Linked DNA regions of Arabidopsis thaliana. The protein of the gene in region 3 interacts with the protein of the main gene of each other region in a pairwise test. Each region holds a gene or a part of one and is shown on either strand. Other genes may lie near its edges.

What was found.
Region 1: the proteins of AT5G41920 (region 3) and JAZ1 interact in binary tests that used the Arabidopsis thaliana proteins (3 or more experiments, as listed by UniProt).
Region 2: the proteins of AT5G41920 (region 3) and MYB54 interact in binary tests that used the Arabidopsis thaliana proteins (3 or more experiments, as listed by UniProt).
Region 4: the proteins of AT5G41920 (region 3) and BEE1 interact in binary tests that used the Arabidopsis thaliana proteins (3 or more experiments, as listed by UniProt).

What each region holds. Positions count from the first base shown.
Region 1 is NC_003070.9:6,618,418-6,624,120, reverse strand, and holds JAZ1 (jasmonate-zim-domain protein 1), read right to left. Parts: upstream 2,345-5,703; 5' UTR 2,290-2,344; intron 2,202-2,289; 5' UTR 1,810-2,201; coding exon 1,647-1,809; exon of another isoform or gene 1,449-1,646; coding exon 850-1,448; 3' UTR 501-849; downstream 1-500. Other genes in the region: AT1G19190 (alpha/beta-Hydrolases superfamily protein), read right to left, coding at 1-245; AT1G19170 (Pectin lyase-like superfamily protein), read right to left, coding at 5,246-5,703.
Region 2 is NC_003070.9:27,598,208-27,603,845, reverse strand, and holds MYB54 (myb domain protein 54), read right to left. Parts: upstream 2,254-5,638; 5' UTR 1,995-2,253; coding exon 1,874-1,994; intron 1,763-1,873; coding exon 1,331-1,762; coding exon of another isoform or gene 1,272-1,330; exon of another isoform or gene 987-1,271; coding exon 808-986; 3' UTR 529-807; downstream 1-528. Other genes in the region: AT1G73400 (Pentatricopeptide repeat (PPR) superfamily protein), read right to left, coding at 4,034-5,638. UniProt on the Arabidopsis thaliana protein: Transcription factor that regulates secondary cell wall (SCW) biosynthesis, especially in interfascicular and xylary fibers.
Region 3 is NC_003076.8:16,777,227-16,782,772, reverse strand, and holds AT5G41920 (GRAS family transcription factor), read right to left. Parts: upstream 3,131-5,546; 5' UTR 2,792-3,130; coding exon 1,574-2,791; 3' UTR 1,349-1,573; downstream 1-1,348. Other genes in the region: AT5G41940 (Ypt/Rab-GAP domain of gyp1p superfamily protein), read right to left, coding at 517-734; MED10A (Mediator complex, subunit Med10), read left to right, coding at 3,741-3,952, 4,025-4,105, 4,184-4,289, 4,363-4,452, 4,542-4,613; AT5G41908 (uncharacterized protein), read right to left, coding at 5,335-5,490. UniProt on the Arabidopsis thaliana protein: Probable transcription factor involved in plant development.
Region 4 is NC_003070.9:6,328,308-6,334,827, reverse strand, and holds BEE1 (BR enhanced expression 1), read right to left. Parts: upstream 3,431-6,520; 5' UTR 3,365-3,430; coding exon 3,008-3,364; intron 2,905-3,007; coding exon 2,779-2,904; intron 2,678-2,778; coding exon 2,612-2,677; intron 2,182-2,611; coding exon 2,113-2,181; intron 1,829-2,112; coding exon 1,751-1,828; coding exon of another isoform or gene 1,709-1,750; exon of another isoform or gene 1,339-1,708; coding exon 1,252-1,338; 3' UTR 972-1,251; downstream 1-971. Other genes in the region: AT1G18390 (Serine/Threonine kinase family catalytic domain protein), read right to left, coding at 4,893-5,408, 5,509-6,165, 6,365-6,399. UniProt on the Arabidopsis thaliana protein: Positive regulator of brassinosteroid signaling.

The DNA.
Region 1 (5,703 bases), on a different chromosome or scaffold from region 3:
CCTCCGCCATGAAAGTAGACGAGTAGTGGGATTTTCTTCTCGCCGGTTTCATAGACGGAATTTTGAGGGAGGTAAATGCGGAGAGAGAGGTTTTTCTCCGGTGAATAGACGGCATCTTTAGATACGACGCCGTTTTCGGGATTTAGTGACGGTGGGACGAATGTTTCGGGTACGAGGCGTTCGATGCCACCGTTCTTGAATATACGAAACCTCGGAGAATAGTCGAATGCGATTTCGGAATCCATTAGAGATTAATGATGATTAGGAAAGAATTAAGAGTTGATTTTGGTGTTTATGCGATTTATTTATATGAATGATCTCTACGAGACTACGACTACTCTGAACTCTCTATAGTTTTGGTTTGGTTTAGATGTCACGTTGTTCTTTAGTTGTTGACATGTTGTTAAACCTACCTACTAACTCATAATTCACGGGTTTGAATTTGAATCATAAAATATGAGATTAGTAGGTAACAAGTAAACAAATGAAAACAAAACACACCTACTTACCTGATAGGTAGATTTATCAAGATATAATTTAGAGTATTTGATAGTATGGTTCGTCAACAAAAATTATTGTTCTTACAAAATTAGTTACATACGAAACTAATTTTGAGATAACCCATAGCAAGGGGATTTAGACAGGCGACAATAACTAGTAGAAAAACAGACTATAACGAATACTAACAATAATTGATCACTAATCAATACATACAAATATATGAAGTTTCCTAATCATTGAGTAGTTTGTATCTTAAATCAAAAAGCATGAAGATAGGAGCTTTTATATCTTGTCTTGAAGCAACGTCGTCAAAAGAATTTCTTGGTACGGCTTGAGGGTGGTTAGCATTCATATTTCAGCTGCTAAACCGAGCCACGACATGTTGCCTGTGGTTTGAGGGTTTGAAGACGCTTTGGCTGGATCGCATAATTGGTATGGTGCCTTTGACGTAACTCTGTCCTTTCTCTTCTCCAAGAACCGGTGAAGTGAAGCTCTTCTAGCAATAGGAAGTTCTGTCAATGGTGTTGGGGAGGATTGGATTGGCTCTTGTGTTGTGGTTTTTCTTGGATGAGGAACTTGGTTTGCGATAGTAGCGATGTTGCTTCTGATATCGGTTTGATTCTTGGCTAAGCTATTAGCGGTGCCTTTGCTCGCCAAGTTGATCACTTCTTTGGCTTTCTCAGCAGAAAAGTCATTGAATACAATCACTTGCCCGGCGTAGAATATAGTCAATGGTGCAGTTTGAGACTCTGGTTTCACAGATCTGGTAGTCTGTGTCATTTTCAAAACATCTTCCTTTGGAAGAGAGGAAGATGAGGAAGAAAAGCTTGGTTGCCTAGGAAACAGATTCGTCGGTTTAACATCTTGAACCATGGAATCCATGTTAGAAGCTTCACAAGGGAATAAACTCATGGTTGTTGTCGGCTGACGTGAGTTGCCTAAAGTTCCTGCAAATATATATGATCCAAAAGTTAGAACTCTCTCCAATCATTTTCTATGTCAAAATTTAGCAAACTAACTCTCCCTAATTTCTTTGAAATCGATTCAAAATTTTCTTGAAAAGTTTTCAAGATCAAGATTCAAGAAATAAAAAACAGAGAAAACGAAAAAAGAAGTGGATCTAGGAGAAAGAGAAGGTTTCTTACCATTGACATCAGGCTTGCATGCCATTCCTAAGCTCAGATCTCCAAAGCTACCGTTCTCTTTTAGATACTGACTCAATCGACTACACGTCTGTGAGAAGCTAGGCTTCTTCCCAGTAAATCTCCGGCTACCGACGAACTCAGAACATTCCATAGAACTCGACATCTTTAACAATTAAAACTTTCAAACGGCAAGAGTTTCTCGAATAGCTAAATCGATACAAAGTAATCTCAAATCTTTTTCTTCTTCTTCTTGTTGTTGCTGTTGCTTCTCTGCAAATTGCGTTTGTCACGAGAGGGAGAAATGGAAGGTCTCTATAAAACTTTGTTTGGCTTTGGGGTTGGTTGGTTTGGTTGCAGAGTTCTTCTTCCTACCTCCAATATAACAAAGCTATATATTAATAGTTTAATAAATACTACTACTTTACTTATGGTATAAAAAACACGTGTTTTATTTTGTTTCTTTAGAAAAATCGGGAATGTGTCTCGGTTCACTGTTCTCCACGTTCTGACGCTTTCCGTTTCTTTGAAATTACGAGTTTGCCCTCCTTCACGAGCCTAATTTATCCATTGGTTGTTTGTTGGTAAGAATAAAGTCAAATAAAACACAAGATGCATGTAATGATGTAAAGAGAAGAGAGGTTACATTTTATCTCTAATCTTTATTATCAACGTAACGTAGGCATAATTCTCGTCGTGATTTTGGTGCTGTTTTTTTTTATCGGATATGTTAACAAGAAATTAATCAACCTAAACACGTCTAAAAAGTACTTAATATTTCTAATTAAAATAAAATAAAATCTTTTTGTATAAATAAGAAGCAAAACGCGTTAGAACCAGTCAACAGTCAAAGCCTAAACTCTTTCACATTTTTAAATGCTCTTCATTGAGACTAAATAATCTTACAATTATAATTGAAATCTAATATGATATTATACTCGAAACATTTTAAAACTTACTATTATAAGTATATTAACGCGTGATTCATGCAGAGAGACAAGCTAAGAATTGTCTAATATCTAGAAAGAAATAAATTAAAATATAAAGTCTGCTAGTTGTCGAGTTGGAATAAAAATGAGGCACAAGCTAAAAGTCATACATCAAAGTCAACCCACATGTCGACCGTCACAATTGATAAAATGCCATGAACCATATGATAATTTGATTGAATAATCAAAAGATTACACGTAACGAAAGTAATGCTTGGCACCTAAAAATCAATAATACAAACTGAGACCTAATTAAATGGTCGTCAATATAAAAATGGACATATTAAAATATATTAAGATATCCAAAAGCAAAAGAGAGACTAATCCATATATCAAGGGTGTTATCGTCCAAGCGGGAAAGTAAACGGCGTTAGTGAGTGGTCCCCTAAAGAAGACAACTCCACCACCCACATGTTCCGTCGACCACGTTTTTGTTGTTATGCGTTTTTTGAACAATATCAATATTTAACGAAAAAAAGAAGCAAAGAAGAAGGAAACTACAAGGAAAGAAGGTTGGCAAGTGCACGTTGTCTGTACCTATTCGATATGACACGTGTTTTATCATGGTTGGTTCGTTTTTCTACGCGTGGAGAGATTCTTGTATTTCAGTATCCAGGGCTCTTATACGCTGCTACGCGACCTATAGAGTTCTAATGTGATTTTATCACCTAAACGGCTAAAGTTGATCTCTACAGCTGCTTTCTCAAAGTAGACCAAGCCAAAGCTCAGATATTTGGAACCCTATACATGCAAATCGATCACAAAATATCTAAAACCTTAAAACATGAAACAAACTCCAAAACCTTACTTTTATGTATAGGCTTCAGCTTCACCTATACGTTGATGTCATGTTTCATTGTAGGCTATACATAATAAAACGACTAAGAGATAGATCTGTAATTGTAACTTGGTGTATAATATACACATTAATGTTTAATTAGACTTGGATAATGCGACACAATTATATTAAATTAATCAGTAAACAAAGTACGTGACAAAGTATTATAATATGGACTCGATCGACACAATTCAGAAGAAAAAGTCGTCCCATACTGATACAACGAGTCTTTCTTTTACATAATTGACAGAAACTTTATTGGTGCAAGATTAGATATATAAAATTCAAGATATATTTCACTAATTAAAAAACTCAACTAGTTTTGAGTTTATTGGTTAGAAGTTGGAACGTACTATAAGATATGAAATGTGGGCTATGGAGCCTATAAAAGTAGATATGATTAGATTAAACGAGAAAGATCGTCAAACTCGTGGGAAATGCGTGTACGTAGTGGTTGGGAAGGAATACAGATCCGCGATGCAAGTTGAGTAACGTGTCCAAATATATATACTTTTACAACTATTCATGCATTAGTTGAGTTTACCATTAATTTACGACTCTTAATTTATTGTATGATTATAGTATATTGTTTAGTCCTTGTTAATGATAAACCAACATTGTAGAGACTTGTAATGTCTAATATATTATACAGGTGCAAGCCTATCTGTTCGTTTAGGGTTTTATTTTCTTAGAGTAAGGTAATACTTACAAAATTTACATGGTTGACTTTGCTAAGCATAGATTGATACGTAGCCACGTTGTATAGTTTTTATTTGTTTAACAAATACTTATGTAACAATCAATGATACAATCATACACAAGTTTTGAACAATATGCACATGAATATCTAGAAATGTTCAAACAATATTATTCTACAATTTCTTTTTGTTTCATGTAAAGGTACGCATGCGTTTGTTAGCCTTTCGAAAATAAATATTAAAATTTATAAATGTTAAAAAAGAAGGAAAACTATTACTCCACATGGGTCGTGAGTCGTGACCATTATTGGAGTCGTCGGTGTTCTGCAGAATATACATATATAAATGTTCGAAACTGTGCTAATTAACTTTAGTAGTGCGAACATGCTTCTCGTGACATTAAATTAAGATTTTTATATAAAACTAGATATTTTGAATAGTTTATCTTATTTCATGTTGGTGTTTGGTTTTCGTGCTAGGTCAAAATGTGAGTTGGGTCAATCAAAAACCACATTCTCGCGATTGGTTTTTTGGCCGGAGTTGGCTATCAAAACCTAGCCGAGCGATTTGGCGTGTGAGCTCCGAGTCTAAGGTGTGAGTCCGCTTTGGAAGGGATCATGAACCAACCTGGTTCACTGAATATGCCGATATTATCATGTGTCATGCGTTAACATGCGAGTTTAGTAATTGAGTCGAATACAACAACACGTGCTTTCAATATTAATAACCTCAACATGGAGATTTTGATTTTTCTAAGCATTCTACTGCAAAACTATGAACCTCAACAACATTTATGAGTTTGAGTTCTGTATTCATCCAAATTTTATTCTTTAATTCGATCAATAAAGCAACTTAACTCCTTTGTTCTAATATATTGCTTGTTCATCAACGAATTATCTTTAGTTGACCTATTTGTGATAAATATTTATATTTATTACTTTAATTAAAATTACAACTATTTATCAGAATGAGAAAACCCCAACGACGAAGAGAAATGGTCCAAAGAAAAATAATTTTCATTTTTGTGTCCCAAAATTTACTTTTATGTACACAAATGACAATGAACTGAAAAAACATTCAAATGTCGTAGTCAATGTCCGCCACATTGGACTCAGCTGCAGGCTTAACCAGACGACCTTCCTCGTCGTAAACATCAAAATTCTCGCAAGGTCGAGGAAATATCGAACCGAACACTCGTCCTTTCACGAACGAACATTGGAATATATGTTTCTTCTTGTACGTTAACCCAACGGACATGTCCCGAAACGTCACATTCCTTACCGGAATCTGTTCGCTTCCATGGATCCGGACCGGCACTCGCACTCCTTGTCCGTGGATTCCCGCGAAACTGAATCCCGAAAGTATCGGGTATGCTTTCCGATCATAATTATCGTCTGCATGCTCGTTGTAATCCGTTTTGATCACTATCCCAACCCGAACATTGTCTAGTGTTAGGTTTTTGTAGGTTATGTTTCTGATGTAACCGCCTCGTCCTGGAGCCGTTTTAATTCTGATTCCACGGCGTGAGTTCCAGA
Region 2 (5,638 bases), on a different chromosome or scaffold from region 3:
GAGGGAGCAAGTGAAGGAAAAGAGGGAACTACAGCAAGGTATGCACGAGGAAGAAGAAGAAGAAGAAGAAGAAGAAGAAGAAGAAGAAGAAGAAGAAGAGTGAAGGAAAAGAGAGAAAAAGGCCATTGGGCCCAGAGGTGAACAAGGCCCAATTAAGGGTGGGTCTTGGTTATTAACAAATTTCTAATTAGATTAAGTACAAGAACTACATAATGGTTGTGTTGTTGTAAGAAAACGATTAAGGAAAGTAAGAAGTAAAAAGAGTTTTCCAACACCTTTTGCTTCTTCATCAAACATTGGATTTTTTTCATGTTATAATCTCAACGATATAAGATTTCAACTGTACATATATACTTTCAAATTTTGATAATATTGTGGCCTCTCGAGGTCGAGTTCATGATCGGGTTATGCATAAACAATTGAACGGTGATTTGTTTGAACGTTGAATAAATATGATACAAATTTAATAAGAAACAAACTAGCAATTAATCGTTATATATATATAATTAAATTGTTGGTAACAGAATTAAACATTTAAACATGTTATTCATCTCATTCAAGACAAATTAAACAAATACATTCAAACGGATAACTTTGATAGTTAACAACTCGATGGAAATTTTACAGACATTGAGAATGTGTGATACATCAACATTATGTATTTTTCTTACAATTTTCGCAGGTAATAGCTCACTAGTTAGTGATTATACACATCAAGCATACATGCTAACGACCTAGATAATCTCGTACGTATACGGACTAAATAGTTAATCTAGAAATTTAGGAGTTACTGCAAAAAAACTAATCCTAGGAGGCAGAGTTTCCAACGGATAAAAAGTCGAAGAATGGAACATGACTTTCATGTTTGGTGTCCGAGTCACTGCGTTTGCTTTGACCTGAATCTTGATCTATAATCTCGCTCTTGTTTGAATCTGTGTTTACTTGTAGAAAATTGTAGAACTCCATAGGCTTTTTACTCTGATTTGCTGCGATCCAAACGATAAAAGAAGGACGAAATTATAAGCTATGTGGATTGCAACTATGTTAAATATATAGAGATGACTTCATGTAATGACGGAAACAATATATGATGATGAGTACAAGAAAAAACATGCAACTAATTTTGTCACATAATTTTGAAGTTCATTAGAAAAATGATTATGCAAATGAAAAAGTCGGCTAAACTCTTTGAAAAGTAAAAAAATTCGGCTAAACTTCATTTCAAAATTTTGGAACATATATACCTTTTTCATCAATAATCCGTGCAAGACTCATATACATGCAAACACATCTATAGAAAATGGATCCTTCTCCATCATTTTGAGTTTACCTTTGTGATTTAAAGCGATCTTTCCGGTGAAAAACTCCTTTAGGAAGTGAAGATGATTGATATGAGAGAATTTGTAAGGGAAATTTATAAAGTCTGCTGGAAATATTTTCTTCCGATCATCGGAACTATAATTATGATTATAACCACCAGAACTCATCATGATTTGTTCACTCGCCATTAAAGAAGAAGACGAAGTCGTCGAGGGAAGAAGACGAGGCTTAGAGGTTTGGCGTGTGCGACGAGCCATGATGACGTGCCAATGGTTCTTGACGGCGTTATCAGTTCTTCCAGGGAAAAGCCTTGCGATGATGGACCATCTGTTCCCATGGATCCGATGAGCCGCTAAAAGTCTTTCTTCTTCTTCTTCCGTGAAAGGGTTTCGGTTGATCCTTGGATCCAATTGATTAAACCATCTCAATCTACAACTCTTACCTGCATATATACACCAATACAATTAATTCATATGTATATATATATCAAAGTATCAAAATTAACCCTAGCTAGTTTTGTATATATGGACAAACCCTAGAAGATATCAATTACCAGAGCGACCAGGAAGCTTGAGAGCAATGGCGTTCCAATTGTGAGGACCGTATTGTTCGACAAGATCCTTGAGCTTCTCGTCTTCAGCTGGTCTCCAATGGCCTCGGCTGCACATGATCATTTTTCTTCTTCACGCCGATCTATTTAATTACGTAATTAACTAAGTATACCGATCCAAACCAATACAAGAACAAAGAAAAAGAAAAACACACAGATTCTATATCAATAACGCACGCAAAAAATTTGTTGTGTTCATGTATTTTATGTACATATATAAGAAATTAAAACCCTAAGTTTTTTTTTTCTTGGGAAAAGGTTGGGGAAGATGGGTATGTGGGAACAAGAAGAAAGCTGAAGAGCACCTGCACGTATATATATACATAGTCTATATTATTGCGAGTATATATATAATATACATTTTATGTCTTCTTCTTTTTTTTCGTCTAATATACATTTTATGTCTTTACCAAAAGAAAATATATATATATATATATATATATACATTTTATATGATGAAAATTAAAATAAAATAAAACAAAATCCGTTAGAGAGTCGGGAGGGTTTGGACGGACCTCTCTACCGGCGACTGATGCCAACGTCTTCCCTAACCAACAAAACACCCCCTTCTACGTAATCTACCTTTTTCTTTCCTTTATTTTACAACTAGGATTTTATTTAGTTATAATAATTATAGAATATATAATATCGTAGAAAATAAGAGCATAGACTAGAGATTGCTTGGTGTGGGCAGGATTTCGTTAGCCTCTCAACGTCTCTTCGTATAGTATTAATTTAAGGTTTGTTGTTTCTAAGTTCTAACCTACACCCGCTACTTCAAGCCACCAATACTCATCTACGTTTCTGTAATCTTGGCAAGCTACGTATTCACATATAATAAATATCGATATCCTACACTGACAAAAATTTATTTCATGTATCAAATATCGTCCATAATAATTAAAGATAAATATTTTCAGACCTAATCAACGTTTTTTCTAAGCCTTAATTAGGAATATATCGTCCAAAGTGGAGACAATACAACTAACTTTTTCTTTGCAATTTTACAATGGGTATTTTCTTATAAACTGTAAATAAAATAGAAGGTGTATACAATTGAATCAAGTGATGAAATATATTAGCAAAAATTTTATTCTCATGTGGTCAATCATTTTAGTCGTAAACAAATAAAAAAGGTGGTCAAATATTTGGTCTCCAAGCACGTCTCTCTTGTCCAAAACGGAACTTTATAGGTTTCGGACATTCAGGACTAAAAACAGAATCAGTTACATTGAATGTTCCGTGGGACTAATTAGAACATTTCTTCAAAAAAAAAAAATCTGTAAGCAAAAACCAAAATAATTGCTGGTAAAGTTTAGTAGGAAAATAAAATAAAACAGAGAGTTAGTTGGGAAAGAAAGCCAATAATCAACTTCATTTGTTCTATCGGTAGTTAGGAGAGAAGCCTTCTTCAGTTTCGACTTTCGAACCTATCATAACTAAACTTAACCTATTTTCGTCGCAAAATGACCTATTTCAACTAAACCGGATCCTGATTACACTAAACCGGTCAAATATTATATACCAGTGGGCTTTTTATTTTACAACTGTATGGGTACTTCATCACCAAAGGCTGACAGACCAACTGTGTCATGTCTTTAGACTTCTTCAGCAAGAGTTCCTGAGACTTGAACCTGTTACCAGAACTGAACGATGAACCGACACTGTTCTAGCATCATAATGTTTCAAGAATCTCACATCAAACTCGAGAATCAGAGAGCAAGAGCAGAAGATAAACCATAATAGTCATGAACCATAAGGAAAACAAGCCTCTCACATTGCTAAGGATCATACAAAGTTCGGCTCTATCTCTATGTATGCAATGGTCAATACAATGACTTTAAACGAACACGTTAAACATATTGTGAGCTGTGAGAGCCTTTTCAAAGAAACCAACATAACCATTAGACAATAGACCTGGATAGGTATCTTTGCTTTCGAAACCATGCTTATTGGTCCAGAATTAGAGAGACTGTGATGGATGAAATTTCACCAGGGATCATAGTCACGAAGAGCTCCTCTCTAGGCAACAGAATCATCGCACCACTGAAAATGGTTCTTTGTTTTAGTATGATGATATGGTCCAACAGTTTTCAGTTCACATTACTTCCCTCTGAGTTTTGTACTCTTTCTCTTCTCACTGAGTGCAAAACGCCTAGCCATACTATGGTTGTAAAACTTTTTCATATGTTCAGAAACCTTATGAATTGCCTTGAGGTTACCAACTTCCGATAGACGCATCAAGAAAGAGTCAAACACTCGATATGGCAGTTTGAGTCCTTTGTTCACAACCTCTTCCAGTAGAAAACACGCCTCTTTAGCTCTGTGACAGTCGAAAAGCCCATTGATCATAGCACAGTATGTTTCAACGTCCTGAACACAGTCTCTTTTATCCATTTCAGTCCATGTATTGAATGCTCCATCAGGATCATCCATTTCGAAAAACATAGATATCAGCATGTTGTATGTTTGGACGCTAGGAGCACAACGCGACTCTACCATTCTTCCATAAAGTTTAAGTGCTTCATCGGTCTTTCTATTCTCACACAATACCCTAAGAAAGCAATTGTATGTGACTATATCAGGCGGGTAACCTTTATTACTCATCTCATCCAGGAACTTGTACGCTTCATCTACCTTTTCAGCCATACACATACCTTCAATTACATCCTTATATGTCGAGACATCAGGAAGGCAACCCGTGCTTATCATACGCCCAATTAGCTCAAAGCATTCTTCTGCCTTATCATTCTTTGCCAACGCCACAATCATTAAAGCAAAAGTCTTTGCGGTTGGAGCAGAAACAGCAGAGCCTTTGGTTATCATAAAGTCAAACAAATCAGCTGCCTCATCCACCATTCCAGCTTGACAGAAAGTATCAATAGCAGCACAATAAGTGAAATTTTCCGGCTTATGTCCAGCTTCAATCATCTCTTCAAGCAGCTTCATTGCCTTTTTAGGGTCTCTCACCCTACACCACCCAAAGAACAAGACATTAAACGTATTCGCATCAGGTTTAACTCTATGCCTCATCCTTCTAAGCAAAGCTTCACCCTCCTTAACCAAACCACACTTACACAGAGCATCAAGAAGCATATTGAAAGCATTAATCTCAGGCTGCGTCTTCACTCTAATCCGTTTCCTCTTGGCAAATTTCTGAACATGAGTCAAGTACCTCTCACAATACTTCCTGAGAATCTCCAATAGAACATCAACAAGAACAACGGTTTTGTTGTTTCTCTTCATGTAATCAAGCATATCAATCACAATCCTAAACTGCTTATTCTTATACTTAGTACTTGACAATATATCAATCATCTCATTATAAGCAATAGGCTCATGTGAGTAATGTTCTTGATGTCCAGCCCAAGTGAAGAACCGAAAAGCCGTCTTTTCTTCGTATTGAAGCCTTTGTAAGATCTTACACACCACAGGAGTTGTTAAATCTACACTAGATTCATCAAGGGCTTTTTCCATATCATCATACGCATTCAAATTCGCCATTATAGCTTCGTGTAAGATTCCAACCGCATGATTAGAACCCTTTGTTCTAATATCATTTTCATTGCAATAAACCAATGATTGATCTTCGGAAACTTTCTCTATACGGGTAATTTCTAGTTCTGGGTTTAACAAAGTCGTGGAACAGAATCGATGCACAGAGAAAGATGAGATTTTTTTGTTGATTTGAATAGAATCTAGATGAGA
Region 3 (5,546 bases):
GAAGTTTCAGACTTCCACCTAAGGACCCTTCTAGAATCACTTTGTTTGTTCAATACTAACCAAGAGAGCATGTCATACAAAAAGAGACAACCCAGCAAACAACCTAAAAGTAAACATTAAACATTGGTTACATTTTCCCTCATTATACTATAAAAAGCCTTAGTGCTTCGAGCCTCAAAATCATTATACGCATCAGAGTCTATGAATACAGAATATGGCCAGGACTATGTTCAGCCTGAGAGTCTTACAAGTTCCATGACAAGAAGAGGTAGTGGAAGTACGAGTTAGCAGCTAACATTGGACCAAGAACTCAATCACAATAACCTAACTAACAGAGAATTCTTCGAACCTAAAGGCATGACGATCCAGCCTCGAATTGGTGAGGTAACAAAGAAGCAAGAACCAATCAAATCTATGGATACCAAATAACTACTTAACTAAGTAGTGAACAAGCATTGCTTCTTTGCTTTGAAGAAATCGATTAGAACATAAATCAGATCGTTTTTGTGTGTATACCTACGAGAGTAGACGGTGAAAGCGACGGCCACGGCCATGACGGTGACAGCGACAGCTAAACCAACATTGGAAGGAATAACGGCCGACGACCACAATCCACCGTAGTAGCCATTTCTACCAACGCCGCCGCCGCTGCTACCGTCGGCAAAGACGATCCATTTCCCGGCGATGATCGGGGAGAAGAAGACCTTCGTCAATCGTAGTCGTGGAAACATCATCCCAAAACTAGGGATTTTGCTCACCGAGATTTCTTCTTCTGATTCTCAGAGTAAAATCATAGCAATTTCCTGAGTTGAATTGGATGAAAATTGATTATTGAAAAAGTCGAAGGTCGTTTATAGAAATTGGGCCCACTTTTTTAATGGGCCTTCATACAGTTGGGTCATTCTTTCTTCTTTCCCCCCCTCCCCTCCTCCCCCCCCCCCCCCAAAAAAAAGAATGGTTGTCATTTTATTTTTATTTTGTTAGTTTTTGGTTTTTGTTTTCGATTTTTGGCTTTTGCACTACATCTTTCTTTTAAAATTGTACAAAAAAAGAAGAAAAAAGAGACAAGTATCCTGAATTTTCTAAGAATCTCAAGTTGTATGAATTCTAGATTTGATTTAAGAATTGAAGGAACAAATTAAAAACCAGTTTCACTAAATGTAAGAAGTTGATGGTCTCATAAAAATTCCACTTGATGTTTTTCATGAATACTATGAGAAATGATGATTTTTCATGGTGGTATCGTCTATGATATTAGACCTTCTATTTGTTGTAGCTGACTTTATTAACAGATATGTGTATAGTCATAACCTCTTATGCTTATTGAGTTATTTAACATGAACCTCTCTTATGCATATAGTTATCTAACAAGAACCTCTCTTATGCATATAGTTATCTAACATGAACCTTCTCATTTTTAGTATCAACAACCTTCTCATTCTCAATATCAACAACTTTTTGCGTCAATGAAGACTTTTTTTTATCGTAATTATCGTAATTTGTTTGGAAATATTTTCAAAACAAAAAATCTTAATGATCACTTTGCAGTTTGCATTATAAAATAAAAATAAAATCAATCGAACGGCTGAGATTTCCAGGCAGAGGCAGTCAAAAGCGAGAGATCCTTCCAGCCAAGACGGAGGGTTCCATTCTCTTCAACCAAAGTATATCCATTCCACGGTAACATACCCAACAATAAACCCGCTTGTGTCGCCGGGTTACCCCGAAGCGAAACAGGTCTAAACCCGACCCGGCTCAGTTCTTCTTTCCACTTCATTCTCTTCCTTCTTCCTCCTCCGTGCGCCACAATGTTTCTTATCTCCGTCCCCAAAACAATCTGCTCCACCGTGAATCTCTCACCACTCTCTTCACCCAATCCATCTCCTAGCGCGTCAAACAACGCGCTATAATAATGCAAAGCCTCCACGAATCTTCCTAAAAAGCTTCCTCCATCGTCGTAGCTCAATTCTTGCTCCACCACCGTGATCAGATTCGGTTTCAGCCTCCGTAGAATCTCCAACGTCTCGAGATTGTTCCCTGTAACATCATATAACCGGTGCTGCATCCAATGAACCACCACAGCTTCTCCTTGTCTCGTTGCGAGTTGGCTCGGATCGATTAGGTTTCCGATTATGCCTTCAATTGGATGAAATTCGAAAGGGAGGTTTAACGATGATGCGAAATCGGCGAGTCTCCGGCCAGTTGAAGCGAGTAGATCGGAGGAGGAACCAAATCCGGTGATTCGAATTGATCGGAGTTTTCGAGGACGTGAAGCGAGGATGTGAAATAGAGCCGGCCATTGAAGACCTTGCATAACATCGAGATCGATGATATGAACGGAATCTTCTCCGTCAAGCGCCTGAAAAATGGCTTGATTCGCCGTGAAATGTGAGAATTTGATCAGAGGACTAACGGAGTTATAAGTCTGCAAGGCGGAGAAGATTTTCTGAGACTGAACAACAGTGAGTGGTTTCTCGGAGAGGGGAGAACACGCGCCGGAGAGGTAAGAGCTGATCACGCGCGTTTGTAGCGCTTGAGCGAAGTAAGCGACGACTCGCTCCGGCGAGGAACCGAACGGAGAACATATCTCGGAGATTTCGGATAAAAGTGTTGAAGCTTCACGGAGATGATCAGTAGCTACGTATTCGGCGCATTGGAGGAGTAAGCTAAGGAGTTTGATTGCGGCAGCACCGTCGTTTTCGAGTGTTTCTTCGGGGAATTCGATACGGCGTTTAGCGGAGGAAGGATCGTCGGAAGATGGGAGATCTCTGTCTATGCGTTTTGTAGTCATGGAGATTTTGTGAGAGTGGAATCATTGAAGAGAGAAGAAGAAGAAGCAGAAGATAGAAAAAAAAGTGGAGATTCGAAAAGAGAAAGGGTTCGAGAGAGTAATGACAGGAATTTTGAAGAGTGAAGACAAGATAGTATTTTGGATGGATCAGTTTCTTGAAAAGATTTTTATCTTTTTTGCAAAAGATTCAATGTTATAATCAAGTGCTCTTTGTGAAGATTACAGCTCCTTCGATTACTCTTTTTTTCTTTTCTTTTTTCTTTCTATTTACTTAAAACCATTTTTTTATTTGTGAAGATTAAAACCAACGAAACCAAGTGAACAAACCCAATTGGAAAAGATTTGGTGAACTCTCATGTTAATCGTTTATGTGTAGAGACTAGAGACATTAAAAATGTACCACTTAACCAGAGAGATTTAATTTGTCAGTTGTTTTAGTTGAATTTGATTTGTAAAACAGTTGTTTTAGTTGAATATAATTTCACACATTCATTCAAAAAAAAAAAAAAAAGGTCTCATGGATTGATACTTAACCAGAGAGATTCAGAACCATCTCCACCTTTTAAAATCAAAAGTTCAAAACAATAGACCCATTAGTTTAAGTAACCGTAAATGGACATGACTTAACTCCATTGAAAACCATATAAAAGCCCAAAGGCCCATTAATGACTACAACAAATTCAAAACTCGATTGTTAATTTTCTTTTGACCACTTTGACTTTGCGCCTGTGATCTTCTTCTCAAATCCATCCATGTACGCTCTCTGAACTTCTTCTTCTTCTTCTTCTTCTTCGTCGGTGGTCCTAGGGTTTCATCGTTCCCAGAAATTTCATCCAGTTGTGTCAATTGGAATTGATCTCTACATAAATTGTTTCCCTCAACCTCTATGTTTCCGTGATTCAAAACCCTAATTTGTGTGTGTTTTAATCGCGTTTCTAGTTATTCGGTGATGGATCAAACACAGAACACAATCGCCGGAATTGGTGAAATCAACGGTTCGATAAAAACCGAAATCAATGCAATTGCAACCGTCGACGATTCAAATGAGAAGCTGAACCAAATTATAAACTCGAATCAGAAAATTTTAGAACTCCTTCATCAATTAAAACTCACCGTCTCTTCTTTCACACCTGCTTCTCAGCTTCACCTCCTCCAACGCCTGTAACTTTTCTTCTTCTCTATTGATCCATTGTTTTGAGTATTGTGTGATTGAAATTTTGTCTCTATCTGCAGCAATTCTCTTGTGATGGAGCTTGATAATATGGCTAAGTTGTCTGATAAATGCAACATTCAAGTCCCCATTGAGGTTCTTAAGTGAGAACAAGTCCCTTTTTAGACTCTTTAGAGAATTTTTGTTGCTCTCTTATGTTTATATATCTTTGTTTGTTGTAGCTTGATTGATGATGGGAAGAACCCAGATGAGTTTACAAAAGATGTTCTTAATAAGAACTGCATTGCTAAAAATCAAGTTACAAAGGGAAAGAGTGATGCTTTTAAGGTGACTCCTTTTGCTCTACTGGTTCTCTCAATTTGGCCACTCATGATTTTAAAGTCGACATTGTTTGGTACAGGGTTTGAGAAAACATCTCTTGGAGGAGCTTGAACAGGCTTTTCCTGATGAAGTCGATCGGTATAGAGACATACGTGCTAGTTATGCTGCTGTAAGTTGTTGACGTTCCTTTGTTTCTCATCTGAGATAGTTTCTACAATAGTTAGTCAAGGTGATAAATTTATTTTCATTTGAATTCAGGAAGCAAAACGGTTGGCTCAAACGCAAAGTGTGTTACCAAATGGGGATGCTAAGGTCAAGAGTGAGCTATAAGAGCTATGAATCTTGCCTTTTAGAATAAAATTTTCAAGTAGATCAATGAGGATGTAAACGAACAAGCCTTCTTGGAATTTCTATAACATCCGTTGGTTCTTTTGCACTTGACTAATATAGTTTGAGAATTTCTCCTTAGCTTTCTGAGGTCATGACTCATGAGGCTGTTAAATAGTCACTCATAGGTTACAAATAGACTAGTCTCTTAGTTCTATCGATGGGTTTTGTACCTAGTATGTGATAGATTCCTATCAGAGACATAAGATTTGCTTTTTACTAGGACGATTAATCTTGGTTCTGTATAAGATAATCTTCTTGCCGAAAGAAGAAGTGATATGGCTTTGCATTGAGTTGGTTGCAATTTCAATTTTTGTCTTATCTCTGGTTAAAGGAAGCTTCTCATTATCTTTAGCTGTAGTAATGTTAACTACACAAGCATCGTGTTTAGATTGGCTTCTGTTTGACCACTCTCCAACTAGAGGGTGGTATTTATATATTGATGGTCTGTGTGTTTAAGCATTGTGTTACTATTTCCAATAGTTCTCATCACCGAAAACCATGCTCTCAAAGATATATTTCCTTTTCTCAACCATTCTTACAAACACATTTTGATAAATGTCTTTGATCACTTCCTTCACGCTTTTACTATTTCAACTACCAAGGGATCATACAGATTTGTAGTTTAATCAGATACTATGGCTCTGCTTCGTTTAATCAGACACTATGGCTCTGCTTTTATAGTCTCCATATCAATACTTGGTTCTCCTGCAGCTGCAGAAAACCAGTTTTCAGTGACACCATGTGAGCTGTTGTAAAGAAAGATGAAGGACGCGGTTCTGTCCATAGGGAGGAGGCTCAAGAGACTCGTAACCGGCATCCAACGTAATGCTTGGTGTTGGACCTGGCTCGTCTATTCTGAAACCATACAGCGAC
Region 4 (6,520 bases), on a different chromosome or scaffold from region 3:
TATAATAAAAAAAAAAAATCAGAAATAAAGAAACATGTATAGAGAGAATAACAGAAAGACAAAAGTGTATTATTATACCCTCACTTTCTTTATATATACGATCATACAAATATCTGAATTGTTCTATCAATCATAAAGATTATGAATAGGCAACATCCGTAAGATCCTGTGAAGTGAACCGTCGCTATTAGAATTATTTTTGAAAAAAATATGAAATATATAAGAGATATTCATATATGGATAATAAGAGAGACCACAAAAGAGGAAGGAAGTCTCAAGAGATTGGTTGTTCGTCTGTAAAACACGTCCATAGGCTTCGCATCACAATTTACTATTTTGTCTCTGTTTTTGGTTTGGGAGACACACATCATTGTCTTTGGAAAGCTACAGAAGTGAAGGGTGTTTTTGTTAATTTACACCGACAAAGTCTCTTTGGTTCCATAACTCCTCTTCGTTACCAAACCTTGCGCAACTTGCCTCTTCCAGTTTATCGTATATGTAACTATGCCTTTCTCGCTGAAAAAGGAAAATGTTTTTAGTAACCAAAAGCAAATTACATATGAATGGAAATATAATCCCTTAACAAGAACATATCGTTTTATATTATAAACTAATCTTCATTTTTAGTAATTCTATAGCCGAAGCCGTTTTTAACCCACTTTACGTAGGAAAGTGAAGTGGAACTCTAGACATCAAAAGCACATGCATGTCTGTAATCAGACTAAGAACTCTCGACCCTAAAATTAATAAACTAAAATCAATATTTAAACCGACTGGTAACGCTCATTTCTTTTTGTTATAAAGACTAATCACATTTCATTGAAGATTTGGTAATATATACAATTTACAATTGATTTCTCTCTTCCCATCATCGTCAATTCACTCATCAACACTTTGACATATGAGCTAATTCATCCATGATTTATAACTTCATTTGCAGAAACAAAATAAAAAAATTCTGTTGAATTTTATTTCTGATCATTTCATAACTTAAGAGGACAATTACATAAGAGGAAAAGGAAAAAGGTGCCAAGCAAACGAAATAGCAAAGCGAAAAGGGAGAGGACAACTGAGATATTTACATGACAATTATAAGTCACCAATAAATTTATATCGTCGAAATTACAAGTATACAGATTACAAATATTATCCCAAGTTGGGTCGTATATATGACATATCGCATCCAAATAAATAGAAGAATAATTTCGAAAACAATAAAAAAGAAGGAAAAGAGAAAAGAGAAAACAAAAGTCAAAGGGACCATGTTGATAAATGGAAGACAGGACTCCCATCTCTTGTTTGTCTCCCCATCTCCACTGTCTCACGTGCCTTTGCTCTCTGCCAATTGTATTCCATTCATATTATTCAATACTAATAGAAATACTTTATCACGTTAAAATAAAGTAATTGTCATAACAACAACTAGTTAGACTTAAACCATGCAAATATAATGCCAAAAAAAAAGAGACTACTTAAACCAATAAACCATACAAGATCAATTATGCAAAGGCTGGATTTGACCTGTCGAACATATTTTAATTGCGGGTCATATAGTCCGCGTGATCATATATTATAGTCTAATAAGATTGAATCTAAACTACAAACACTTGTATTTTTGAATAAATCTTTGTAGAACCGACTCGATCAAAACATACCGGACCCATTACAACATCTCTACCAGACTACCACTAATTAATTATATATATGCTTATCTTAAGAATTGAAAAACATTATTAGAATGTTCTAGTACCTGCATGGAATCAACTGCATCTGTCTCTGAGTTAAAGTCATAAAACGAACTTGCTGCAGTGAGTTTCATCGAGAGGAACTGAAATCCACAAAAAACATGAAACAAAATTGAGTAATTTATAAAATTAAAGCTTGTGTTTTGGAAGTTTTTTAAAGTGTGTGGTAAGATTTTCGTTTTTTTTTTGTAATTTTCGAATATCTAAGATTTGCCGTGTTTCGGAAAGTACTACTAAAGTAGGTATTTACCGAACCTCCCATCTCATGAAACCTCCATTTTCTAGTTTTTTTTTTCTTTCTCCAAAATACAAGAAGACAAAGTCTTATTGATATATGTAGTTTATGATTACAACTTAAATTATTTACCTCGACTTGATTCTGTAGAGACTGGACATAATTAATTATCTCGTCAAGCATCGTAGCCATTCCCATAGCCTGCACCCACCAAACATACACTTTCATTATAAGAAGTAAGCACCACTAAATCAATAGAAAATCACATCACTTTTTCTACAATTTTTTTTCTGAGTTCTTTGTAAACAAAAAAAACAAAAAAAAATCCGAAGAACAATTTTCGGAAAATATTATGAGCGGTATCAAAGAAAAAAGCTAAAATCACACTCATGCATGTTAAAAATACTTTTGGATACATATGTTCTTGTTTAACTAAAAGTATCACTTTTATCATAAAATGCTTAAATTTGATTCAAGTATAATTAGTGACAATTAATGCCGATGATGACCTTTTCATATGCTATTTATTGTTTAATGGCCATTAGTTTCTATTTTGATTACAAATATATTAAAAAAGAAGTAATGAAAAGTTGAAAATGTTAAACTATTATATTTATCTTTGCATTATTACCTTATAACATCCGGGCACCATATCTTGCAAGCATCTTAATCTCTCGTTTATTTTCCCTCGCCGAACCTGAAATTTTGATATAGAGTGTAGACATGTATATAAATTTAAATGAATACACCACGTTTATAAAAAAAATGAATTTATATAGACAATTTAAGCAATTTTACCCGTTCTGCTAAGCTGTGGCTATCAGTGGCTTGGCCTCTTCTGGCTCTCACATGAACAACTTCTCTCTCTTTCTCGTCTTCTTCTTCCTTCTTCTTCTTCAACCTCTTACCTCTTCTCAAAGAACCCTAGATATTTTTTAGACAATAAAAGTAATTATTTTAAACGAACTTTTTAATGATAAGTTATGAAAATGATAAGATAATTAGCTAGGGTTTCGAGATCAATTACTGTTTCAGTGGCAATAACATTCGTATTATCGGAGACGCCGCTAGTCTCTGATGAAGACAAAGTAGGTAACAAAGCTTTTCTCTTCTTGGTCTCATCGACGATGTTGTGATCACTATGGAGGAAACTTGAAGTTGAAGAGAAATTGTTACTACTGTCTGGAGAGTTTCCGGGAAAGTGAAGTAATTGTTGTTGATGATGATGAAGGAAGAGCGATTCGAGAGAAGTAGAGGAAGGATGAAATGTTTGAAAATGAAGGTTACTGTTGTTGTTGTTTAGATCTGCAGCTTGAGTTATGGAAGAATATATATCCATGGCTATTGTCTGAAAATCAGAAGAAAGATTCTCGAAATTTGCCATAATATAATGAATTGAGATATGATCTTCTTGACACTTTTTTTTTTTTTTTTTTCTGACAACTTCTTTAGACTGGTTGATACAAAACTTGAGACTTTTATATTGTTCGATTGGATTTTTTTATTAATTTAATTTATGATTTTAGAAAAAGAAATGTGGAGAAAATTAAGAAAGAAAAAGAGAGAAATAAAGGGAGAGCCACGTGGGCAAGTGAACGTTCTGGGATTTGTGTGTCGGGGAGATATGTCCAAACAAGGAAAAGTAGGACCAATGTTTGGTCGTGGGTTCCATTAGGCTTTCTCTGTTTGCAAGGGGGAAGAACATTTCTAGTCAGTTTGGTGTGAGGTTAAGAACTAGTGGTCTATCTTTAAATTTATTATTAATATTGGGAAGAAAATATTGAAATGGATGTAGCTAGTCAAACTAAGTTGATATCAAAACTTGTTTTAATGAAAACATCCATTAATGTTTTGCATGGAGGGTTTTTTATGTAGGTGTATAGGGTAAGAGATCACATCCATTTGCCAACTTAATTATAACTTCCAAATGGCCAATGCCAATTAATCGACAAAAATACTATAAATATGTGTATGTATAAAAATATAGGGAGATAAACGAAAGTATATATGAAGGTTCTTTTACATAAGTTGACGCCAATTTATGAATCTTTAGTTAAAGTTTAAGTTACCAAATTATTTATATTGGTGAAGACAAATTTTCACTTTAATCGGCATACTAGAGATTTCCTTTGTTTGTCCTTGTGATGATCAAACACATTGAGTTTTAGGAAAGAGTTTTTTTTTTTTTTTTTTTTTCTTCCTTTTAGGAAAGAGTTAGGTTGCAACAAATGTCAATGTTTAGTTGGGCCATTACTATAGATTATCTATTATGTATGGTGGAGGGATTTGATTCACATGCAATTTCATTCATTCAAGACAACTTACTCTTTAACTTGTTCATTAATAGAAGTAGTAAAGCATCCATGCCCAAATTGGTGTGCTTTAATTAGGAAATTTTGGAAACAGAAGTTTTTTTTTTTTTTCTCTGAAAGTGTCTTTCATTAAAACTTCATAGATGCAGGTCTTACATTGTGATTGCAGCAGTGGACTTTCCACTTACATTGGAAACAGAAGATAAGCTCAATATACATATATATATTCTTCTGACGTTAAATTGGTGGATAGTCATCGCCGTCGCTGAGCTGGCGTTACTTAATTACCATCATTATTTTGATGTCTCAAATATTTTTACCTTTTCCGTAAAAAAATAAAATTAACCACTAATAAAAAAATAGTTTCAGTTGGCAGCAAATAGCAATACAAAATTGCTGATTTAGTCCGGTCAGGCCCAATCACGAAGTTTTGTATGTTACGGTCCCTCTCTAGGTGGAATCGGAACAAGATCATCATTATATACATTCCCAAAAATATCATCTAATACAGAACACGAACACCATTCTCTAACTGTTAACTGACAATTTTAAACATACAAATAATAAACACATACAATGTTAGTGGCCGTGCGACTAATTTTACTTACTGTCCCATTTCACAATGACACTATCTGGAGACTGTGCAACCAACGGTCCACTCTTGTTCACATCTACAACATCCATTTCCGAACCAAATCCATTGTTCTGTATCCTCGTCAACGTATCCTGCACGTGCGACATACATGGCCTAAGATCTTTATCCGACTGCAAGCATTGGAACGCCAGCTCAGCGACAGCGATCACCGTCTGTCTCACTCTTGTATCCGTGTCAAACCCAAGTGACGGATCCACCATGTCGCGGAGCTCGTGGTTCTGGATTTTAACGACTGCCATGTTCGAGAGGTTGATCTCTTGGCGCGGTCTTGTGATGTCGACTGCTGGAAGTGAAGAGATAAGCTCCATTAACACTACCGCAAAGCTGTACACGTCGCTTTTGTTTGAGAGTTGATAGCATAAGTGGTAATCCGGGTCGACATATCCCGGAGTTCCTTGTGGAGCGGTAGATACGTGCGTTTTATCCATAGGAAACAGTCTAGAGAGTCCAAAATCCGCAACCTAAAATGTCGAAAACAGTAAAAAAAACACAGAAAGAAGTTAAGATTATGATCCGATAAAATCCCACCAGATTGAGTAATAACCAGTGTGAGTTACTGACCTTGACATTGAAGTTTTGGTCGAGAAGGATGTTGTTGGATTTAACATCACGGTGGATGATCTTGGAGGCGTGGAGATACTTCAAGGCAGAGGCAGTTTCAACAGCGATTTTGAGCCGAATAGACCAAGGAAGTGAGCTAGGGTTTGCCTGTGGACCATGTAGATGATCAGCTAACGTGCCGTTTGCAACATACTCATACACTAGCAGTAAGTCCCGGCTCTGTTTTGAGGAGCATCCAAAGAGAGCCACGAGGTTTGGATGGCGTAAACCCGTTAAGATCTCAACTTCATTCCTGAATTGCTCTGCTCTTTTGAAGTTGTTATCGTATAACCGTTTAACGGCTACGCTTCGTCCATCTTTAAGCTTACCGTAATAGACAGTACCAAAGCCTCCATCACCGAGTTCTTTAGATGGGTCGAAGTTATTAGTGGCTTCTTCAAGTTCTTCGTAAGAGAAAATATGAACTCCGACTAATAATTCCTCTGCTTTCTCGATGTCAAAAGACTTTGCAGATGGATCTGATGAGATGTTTCTTGGAAGCAATGCTGAAGAATTTCTGTAACTTTTTGTTTTTCTACGATGGTATACATACCAAAATATGCTCGCAGCTATTAATCCTACGACCGCAGCGGATGCACCTGAGATGGATTTTGTAATCTGTTAAAACTTGAGCGGGATGATTAACGAAACAACAGAGCATAACATAACTTTGCCAAAGTAGAATTTTATATCTTTTGATGGTGCGAAGAGCATCATAAATCAAATCGAATCTATTAAAATACTGGTTAGTTATTATAACCACATATCAAAGTCTTTTTCCCAAAACAGAAGATTAAAGAATTTTACCTATGAGTACCTTCACTATCACTCTCCTTCTTTTATCATTTTTGCCTGGAATGAAGAAACAGAGAAGAATAAACCAGTCAATGGACTTTCAGATTTCAGCATTCGTAAGAACATATAGATTGAGACTAAAAGTTACTTAACCAGTCAGAGATTGTAAAAAAGCCTT